Linked DNA regions of Cricetulus griseus. The main gene of each other region encodes a partner of the protein of the gene in region 2 in a complex. Links are inferred from orthologs where the notes say so. Each region holds a gene or a part of one and is shown on either strand. Other genes may lie near its edges.

The links.
Region 1: the proteins of Plekhm2 (region 2) and Arl8b are in contact, whole or in part, in a crystal structure (PDB 8JCA), measured with the Homo sapiens proteins. The link is inferred for Cricetulus griseus from reciprocal best matches to the Homo sapiens genes PLEKHM2 and ARL8B. Residues at the interface, in NP_055979.2 of Homo sapiens: His70, Phe71, Thr72, Arg73, Arg74, Glu75, Glu103, Ser105, Glu107, Ser108, Tyr109, Arg111, Leu112, Glu115, Glu147, Phe148; in NP_060654.1 of Homo sapiens: Glu22, Thr52, Val53, Gly54, Phe55, Asn56, Met57, Lys68, Trp70, Arg77, Phe78, Arg84, Tyr85, Arg87, Gly88, Val89.

What each region holds. Positions count from the first base shown.
Region 1 is NC_048601.1:35,693,682-35,698,085, reverse strand, and holds the start of Arl8b (ADP-ribosylation factor-like protein 8B), read left to right. Parts: upstream 1-1,562; 5' UTR 1,563-1,741; coding exon 1,742-1,864; intron 1,865-4,404. UniProt on the Homo sapiens protein: Small GTPase which cycles between active GTP-bound and inactive GDP-bound states.
Region 2 is NC_048595.1:11,590,514-11,594,930, reverse strand, and holds the start of Plekhm2 (pleckstrin homology domain-containing family M member 2), read right to left. Parts: upstream 2,944-4,417; 5' UTR 2,687-2,943; coding exon 2,663-2,686; intron 1,903-2,662; exon of another isoform or gene 1,799-1,902; coding exon of another isoform or gene 1,739-1,798; intron 1-1,738. UniProt on the Homo sapiens protein: Plays a role in lysosomes movement and localization at the cell periphery acting as an effector of ARL8B.

The DNA.
Region 1 (4,404 bases), on a different chromosome or scaffold from region 2:
GGTGGGAGGACAATGCTTCCAGAGCCAAGTTCTCGGTGAGTTGAAGCAGCACATGATACTTTATCAATATAGTGTGGATTGCAGCCAGCCACACTGTCTTTCAGTGTCCAGAGCACTTCACTAACCTTCCCCATTCACAGTCTTTGCTCTTTTTTTTTTTCCTGGAATGTGCTTCCACCAAAGGTCAGCTTGGTTCTCTTTCTCACTTCCCTCAACCCTTTTCCACTCAGCGTCACCTGACCGTAAAGACAAGTGAGTTGGCTCCAGGTTCTTCTCTGTTCCTCATCAGTTTTCTTTATAATTTTCTGTGCATTGGTGTTTTGCCTGCATGGACGTCTGTGTGAGGGTGTCAGGTCCCCTAGAACTGGAGTTACAGGCAGCTGTGAGCCGCCATGTGGGGGCTGGGAATTGAACCTAGTCCTTTGGAAGAGGTGTCAGTGTTCTTAACCACTGAACCATCTCTCCAGCCCCATCAGTTTTCTTTCTAGTGTAATGTATCACATGGTATTTTCTCATTTGCTAGCTATACATTATGTTCCCCACTGTGCTGTAAGCCCTGGGAGGGCAGTGATTTTGCTGTTACTACTGTCTCTGTTTGCTTGGGACATGTTTTTCTAGGTTCACTATGTAGTTCAGGTTGGTCTTGAATTCACCAAGCAAAACTTGACCTACGATCCTCCTGTGTCACACTCCAATGGGTTTACAAGTGTGCACCCCACTCCTAATTCAGAGCTTCATCATTTTCATTGTCATCATCTTCATCATCATCAGACAGAGTATCATGAAGCTCAGAGTGGCCTTGAACTTCTGAACCTTCTTCCTTTATCTCCCAAATGCTGGGGTTACTGGCATGCATCACCATACCCAGTTCTATGCAGTAATGGGCACTTTAATCAGCTCAGGGGTGGAACCCAGTGCCAGGCAAGTGTCTGCATCGCCAACCCAAATTCTGATTTTTAAAATTCTATACTTAGAGTATTAACATTTTCTTTCAGAGTGCATTGTCAATGAACATTTGTAGAAAAATCCAATCAGGACCAACTCATTTTTTTTTAAAGAGTTATTATTATGCGTCTCTGTGTGGGGGTATGTGCATACAGGGGTCCACGAGGACGAGGTCAGAGAACCCTGGACCAGGATCCCCTCGAACTGAACTTCCAGGCTGTTGAGGGTGCCAGATGGGGGTGTTGGGTCCCGAACTCAGGACCTCTGAAAAAGCGGCAAGCACTCTTAGACTCTGTCTGAGTCATCCCTGCAACCCCGCATGTTTTGTTTGTTGAACTCCTGATCTTCCTGCCTTCACCTCCCAAATACTGAAATTGCTGGCATGCTTCTAGCTGAGGAGATTAATAGGTGGGGAAAAAAAATGGCTAATGAACTTTTATGAAAGAGCAAAGGCTTACTATAAAACTGAATCGACATCAAGGCGACTGAAGGCTGTGCCCAACCTCACCACCAGGTGGCACTGTCGGCGGCGGGCTCTCGGGATCCGCCGGGCGGCGCCGCTCTTGCCGTGCGCTTCCGAGACTGGGCTGGGCCAGGCGTGGGGGGTGGGTAGGGCGAGTCATATGACCCGCTGGGTTTCCTGGCTCTGGCCGTCGCTGCCGCCCGCTTGTGTCCGCCCGAGTCGCGCCGGGGGGCCCGCCGAGGAGCCGTTAGTGGGTTCAGGGCCGATTGCCGCTCGTGGGAAGCAGTGACCGCCGTCGTCCGCACCCGTCCCCGCTCGCTCCCGGCCGCCGCCATGCTGGCGCTCATCTCCCGCCTGCTGGACTGGTTCCGCTCGCTCTTCTGGAAGGAGGAGATGGAACTGACCCTCGTGGGGCTGCAGTATTCGGGCAAGACCACCTTCGTCAATGTCATCGCGGTGAGCAGTCGTCTGCGGGCGACCCGGCCGCCGACCCGGGCTTGTCACCTCCCCGAGGGCCGGGCCGGGCCGTGCGACCCTGCGCATGTGGGCCTGGGAGATTGTAGCTTAGCGGGTCAGCGGCCCGAGGGCCGATTCCGCTCTGCGTTACGGTGGGCGCTGTGCCTTTAACGCGGCTCGGAAAGGGTTAATCCGAGCCTGTCACAGTTGCGGCCTTGGGGCTGCGGAAGCTGAAGAGTTAACTCCAACCTGTCACTTGCTCGCCCGCCCGGACGGGCTAGTCCGGCCTTCTCTAGAACGTCTGCCAGAGGAGAGGGGGGAGCCACTCTGAAATCTCCACTTGGGACGGAGGAGTCCCATTGTGAAAGCAGGCGACCCGTGTGGGCGCCTCTGTGGAATGCCAGGGGGAGCCTTGGCGCCTCCAGTTCGCTTGGTCTTTGTCGCTTGTCCGTGGAGAGCCGAAGATCAAGCTGATGGCCTAGCACACTTGGTGGACGCTGCTGGGGAGACCATTCAGTTCCTAGTATTTATTAAGGCAAGGAGTCAGGGCGAGGCGAGTTTCTGTCTTCCCAGAGTTGTGTTAAGCGAGTTAAGATAGATGGAGCTGCATTCACCATGAAGTTAAGTGTCCTGCAGGGTTTGATCTTGAGAGAGATTCTTTTTCTTTTCTTTTTCTTTTTCTTTTTCTTTTTCTTTTTCTTTTTCTTTTCTTTTCCTTGTAGAGAAGGAATTTGTTTGCAGGGAGACGTAGCTTATGCACACTCGGGGAAATTGCCTTGAGAACTTAAATATAATGTGGTGGTTAATTCCGTGGGAGAGTGGTTGTTGAGTTTTTGCCGTTCTGATTGGTTGGGAAAGGAATGGGAGTAAGTGATTTCTTGTCAGTCGCTTAGAGCCTAGGAGTCACCGCGCAGTCTTAGGGCTGCACTTACAGGGTTGAGCTGTACAATTGGAGACAAGTGGCGGCAGTTCTCAGACCTTGGGAGAGGGTGGTTGCAGAGTAGACAGCTGGGCTGTCTGACTGGTTTGGCCACAGGAGTGATTCAGGTACAGTGCCATGGGAGAAACTAGGCAACTTGTGAGTCAGTATGTGTAGTAACAGAGCAACAGGCGTGAACAGGACCTGTAGAAAGAGGAGCAGAAACCCAAACTTCTTTTGGAAAAGACTAAATATAAGTATAAAGAAAATTTGTCTGCTTCATGTTTGGTGCCTTCTGTATTGCCCCCCCCCCCATAATAATCGTATTCTCTAATACGAAGAGAATAAGGCAGAACAGACTTTATGATCTCTTTCATATTAGAGCTTTTCTGTAGCCTTTGAGGTGTTTATTTTCTGTTATTTACCTGAGATAAGAATTGGAATTTCCTCCGGGGGTTGGTGGCCCACACCTTTAATCCCAACACTCGGGAGGCAGAAGGTTCTCTCTGAGTTCGAGGCAAGTGTGGTCCAGGCTTGTTCCAGGACAGCCTCCAAGCCCCAGAGAAACCCTACCTCGAACCCCCCCCCCAACAAAAAAAAGAATTGGAGTTTCCTTGGAAATCCCATCTCTTGGACAAGATTGAGTTGGGACACGTGGGCGTGTCAGCATGGTCAGTTGTATTTGCTGTGGAGGAGTAGTTAATGTAAGAACCTGCACCAGTGAGTAGAATTCAAGAGACACACTGCTTACTTTCAGGCTTCTGTCATCACCAGACAGTATAGCTTAATATAACAATTAATATTAATTAATTAATATTACTTTCATCACCAGACAGTATAGCTTAATATAACAAGTCCGAACTTTATGCCACGACCCCGGTTTAAAATCTGGATCTGCTACTTAGCAGCCTTGGATCCTCTTTGAGTTGACTGTAATCTTATCTATTAAATGCAGATAACAATATATTTCTTAACGGAATTGCTCTAAGGGCTAACTAAGAGAAGTAGGGAAGTAATAACTTGTTAATATTTGTAGTGGCTGTACTACTTAATGCAGACACAAGGAAATATTAAGAAAGGAATCAGTATGGGTCTTCTCCTTTGCCTCTCAGACAAGTGTGGTCTGCAGTCATGGTTTTCTGGTTTGTGGGAATAAAGTACCCGATGCCCTCCTCCTTTTGTATTGGCTTCTTTTAACAGTTATCAAATGTCTCCTGTTGAGTTTAGTGACCTTCTGTTATCAATCAATATTAAAGTATTATGTTTGAATTATAGTGTAGATAGCCTCCTAAAAAAGAAACTCCCACAAAAGAGGCTATGTTTAACTTACTTTAATCATTCCAAATTCTATATATAATAAAACATTACATAAAATATTATGTAATGTGAAACACACTCACACACACACACAAATACACACACAAATATAATTATGATCTGTCAGTTAAAATGCTAATGTTCTAGACATGGTGATGCTTACTTGTAATTCCAGCACTTCACAGGCTGAGGCAGGATGGTTGCTACAACTTTGAGGGTCAGCTTGATCTGTGTCTACTATAACAAGTAACCAGACCAGTCACAGTTACACAGTAAGACTGCTCCCCCCAAACAAAAATAATTT
Region 2 (4,417 bases):
CTTACATAGAGCACAGATGAGACTGGGCTGCAGAAGCCTTGGTGTCTCCTGCTGGAGCTGAACTCCGTCCCTCTGAGATAGAATCTCACTGCATGGCTCCAGCTGCCTTCAAACTAAGTAGCCCTGACTAACATCCTGACTCACAGTAAGTCTTACTAGAAGCAGAATCTTTTCTTTCTTTCTTTCTTTTTTTCAAGAGAAAGTCTCACTATGTAGTTCTAGCTGTCCTGGAACTTACTGTGTAGACCAGGCTGGCCTCAAACTCATAGAAAGCAGCCTGCCTCTGCCTCTGCCTCCCAAGTGCTGGACAAAGGCATGTGTCACTATGCCAAGCTAGAAGGAGAAAGAACCTTAAAGGAAGTCATGCATAGTGGTATGTACCTTTAATGCCAGCACTTGGGAAGTAGAATTGGAGGCCAGCCTGGTCTACATAGTAAGACTATAAAAGTAAGAAAGGAAGAGGGGGGGAGGGAGAGAGGGAGGGAGGGAGGGAGGGAGGAAGGAGGAAGGAAGGAAGGAAGGAGGAAGGAAGGAAGGAAGGAGGAAGGAAGGAAGGAAGGAAGGAAGGAAGGAAGGAAGGAAGGAAGGAAGGCAAAGCAAAGCAGAGCAAAGCAAGAGGCCCAGAGAGATGGCTCAGTGGGAAAAGGTGCTTGCTAGCACAACTGACAAGCAGAGTTAATTCCTGGAACTCATATGGTGGGAGAGAACCGATTCTCAAAAGTTGTCCTCTGACCTCCACTCTCCTACCTAGCATGTGGGCACAATACAGATATACATATACACATACACAGAATAAATAAAATCTAACTTTTTAAAAAAGAGCAGAAAAGGAAACCCAGTTAAATCTTTTCAAATTAGACAAGGCAAGAGTTCAAGTAGTAAAAACTACATAGAAATTAAATCCCTTCTGATTGCCCATGTAGGTTTTCTGAGAATACGAATTCTACCACCTGGCGTGTTATCCTTCTTGGTTTGTGATTCCTACGCCTACTTTTTGTTTTTGAGACAGGGTCTCACTATGTAGTCCAGGCTAGCCTGGATCTCAAGATTCTGCCTTGGCCTCCTGAGTACTGGGATGACAGACATGCACCACCACACCCAAACCTTGTGAGGCTGGCCTGTCTCCTCATCCACGTGCATGCCCTTGAGAGGTAGTCATTTCTACCAGGGATTGGGGCAGTGACCAATAGGCACAAGCCCCAACGCAAAGTATCCTAGTGTCACTCTGTCCACAGCTCACTATCCAAAAATACATCCCTAGGCACTTCAGGTCCCCAGTCAGAACTCTGCAATCAGCTGTTTCTAAACTGCCATCCTGGAGTAGAATGTCTTGGGGACTCCCCAGGACGCCAGGCATTGTCGCCTAGCACAGCTGATGTGGCCAGCAAGTGTTGGTCCTCGGTCTTTGACCTGAGGAAGGATGGATGACTGCATCCATCCTTAGGGATGCTCTCTGTGCCGGCTCCTCCTCCCGGAGCCTTCCCGAGGTGTCACCGGTCCCTCTCGGGAAGGCAAGGCCGGGTCGGGCACCCGGGAGCTCCGAGGACGCTGACCTCAACTTTGTTTTTTTAAAAATAGCTCGGAGGCCGCGGCGCTCCCGGGAGCCGCCCGCGTCCCCTGGAGGGCTCGGGGTCGCCGGGAGGACGGTGACCCGGGATCCCGGTCACAGAGGCAAAGCGGGGGGGGGGGGGCGAACGACGGGGACCGGGCAGGGTCCCGGGCGAAGGAGGCCGCTCACCTTCTTCACCGACAGAGAGATGTTCTCCAGGATTCGGTCCTTCACCTCCCGCGGCTCCATGGCGCCGCCGCCGCCGCCCGTCGCCGCTTCCCGCGCCGGGCGCCCGGGCCGCCGCCAACCGCTGCCGCCGGCCGTGCGGGGCTCCGTCGTGCCGGCCGCGGGGCCCGGCGCCCGCCGCCCGCCTCGCTCGCCTCGCCTCGCCTCGCCCGGGCCTCGCTCCGCGCCCGCCGCCGCCGCCGCGCCTCCGAGCGCGGAGCCGGGAAGGAGACGCGGGCTGTGCGCGGCGGCAGGAACTGATGTCAGGCGGGGCGGGGCGGCGCCAGCACCGGCCGGGAGGGACGGCGAGGACCCGGCGGGCCCGCCTCCTCCGAGGCCCCGGGCCGGCGGAGACCAGGGGCTGCGGGGACTCAGAGATCCGGGGTGGCGGAGGCTCCCGGGGGCCCGGGGGACTCAGCCCGGACCGCACAGACGCGGGACCTGTGAGAGCCGGCGTCGCATAGACCCGGGGGACTCACGGACCTCAACACCCTGGGACGCAGAGCCCTTGTCCTCCTCCCAACCCCCCACTCACTCCCGCACAACTCCTCAAAGATCCGGGGACTTAAGATCCCGGACCTCACAGACCCCCGGGTCCCCTCCCAACTCCTCAGGGACACCGCGTTGTTCCCCGACGCCCCCGCACCAGGGCCCTGCGCAGGCCTGGCAACCCGCACAACTCATTAGAGGTCGCCCACTCCCTCCTCGCTTTCACCCCCTCCCTCCCCAGCAACATTCACGGACCCTCCTCCCACTCAGGACCAGCGCAGACAGCGCCCTCCCTCAGTCCAAATCCGGCATTCCTCACCCTTGCCCACAGGGGACCCAGACATGCCCGCATACTTGAGAGATTCTGGAGACAAGGCCTGGCTAGTCAGGGACACCTACCCGTCTCTTTTCCAACCCCTCCATGCAACCGCAGGGTTCAGGGCTTTGGATGGCTTAGACTCCAGCACCCAGACTTGGCAAAGCCCTCCAGTCTTCCCAAGACTCCATCACCCTCAAAGTCCAGTCCTCAATTTCAGGCCATTGCAAATCCCTGGTGACTCTCCTACCTCCAAAATAAACTCTTTCCCTAAGCAGCCTTCATACCTTTCTGTCCTGGCCAGTTTTATGCCAACTCAACTCACGAGGACACAAGCTAGAGTCATCTGAGACATGGGAACCTCAACTAAGAAAATGCCTCCAGGGCTGGAGAGACGGCTCAGAGGTTAAGAGCACTTGCTGCTCTTCCAGAGGTCCTGAGTTCAATTCCCAGCAACCAGATGGTGGCTCACAACCATCCGCTATGAGATCTGGTGCCCTCTTCTGATGTGCAGATATACATGGAAGCAGAATGTTGTATACATAATAAATAAATAAAATCTTAAAAAAAAAAGGAAAATGCCTCTATTAGATGGCTGTAGGCAAACCTGTAGGACAGTTTCTTAATTAGTGATTGATGTGGGAGGGCTCAGCCATGAAGAGTGTGCCATCCTTGGACTGGTGGTCCTGGGTTCTGTGAGCAAGCAGGCTGAACAAACAAACCATGGGTGCCGGTAACAGCCGGTAACACTTCCTTGGTGTCTGGATCAGCTACTGCCTCCAGGTCCCTGCCCTGTTTGAATTCCTGCCTTGATGTCTCTCAATGGACTGTAATTCAGGATATGTAAGCCAAATAAACCCTTTCCTTCCCAAGAAGCTTTAATTATGGAGTTTCATCAGAGCAGTAGGAAAGTAACTAAGACACCTACACCCTATCTCACTAAGAGCTTCACTCCCTCAGCCTGAGACCCACAACAACTCAAGGGACACACACAAGGTGCCCCAAACTCACCATCTCTACACTTGGGTTCTGTCTCCTACCTGGGCCACTTCTCTAAGTTTGGTCCCCAAATAAACATATCCTCACAGAGTGCTGAGTCCATTCTTTAGACACCAAAATTCTGACTTCTGGCTCCCTAGTTTTCAGTAGTATGTGCTCAGGCTAACTCATCCCTAATGCCATCTTAGAGCACTAATTCTACAGTCTATGACCAGAGGTCCCCAATCTTTCCCTGACCTCCAAAGAGAGCCTGAAGATGGTGGTAGTGTTACAGTTTTGTTCCCTGGGAGTGGATAGGGGACAAAATAGACTCTGAAAATGGGAAGGAAATCTGGGGTTCCCAAATTCCTTACTACTTGGGGCTAGTGGTGGCAGAGTCCCCAGTGCTAATCATGTTGAAACTAAGTGTCAGCCAGGCAGTGCACACCTGTTATCACAACCCTTAGGAAAAACAAACAAACAAACCAAACCAAACAAAAACAATAATGAAAACCCAAGCAAAAACATTAGGCCATGCCTATAATTCCAGTGCTGTTTTTTTTTTTTTTTTTTGTTTTGTTTTGCTTTGTTTTTATGGTTTTTTGAGACAAGTCTCACTCTGTGGCCCTGGCTGGCCTGAACTCATTATGTAGACCAGGTTGACCTTAAACTCTGACTTCCTCTGTTTCCCAAGTGCTGTGACTAATGGTGAGTAGAACCACACCACTAAATCCAGTATTAGTTTTTGAGCCAGGGATTCACCCTAGCCCTGCCTAGCCTTGAACTTGAGGTGATCCTCGTGCCTCAGACTCCAAGTACTGAGACACGCACAACCAGGATAAATTTGAAAGAAGTGTTTT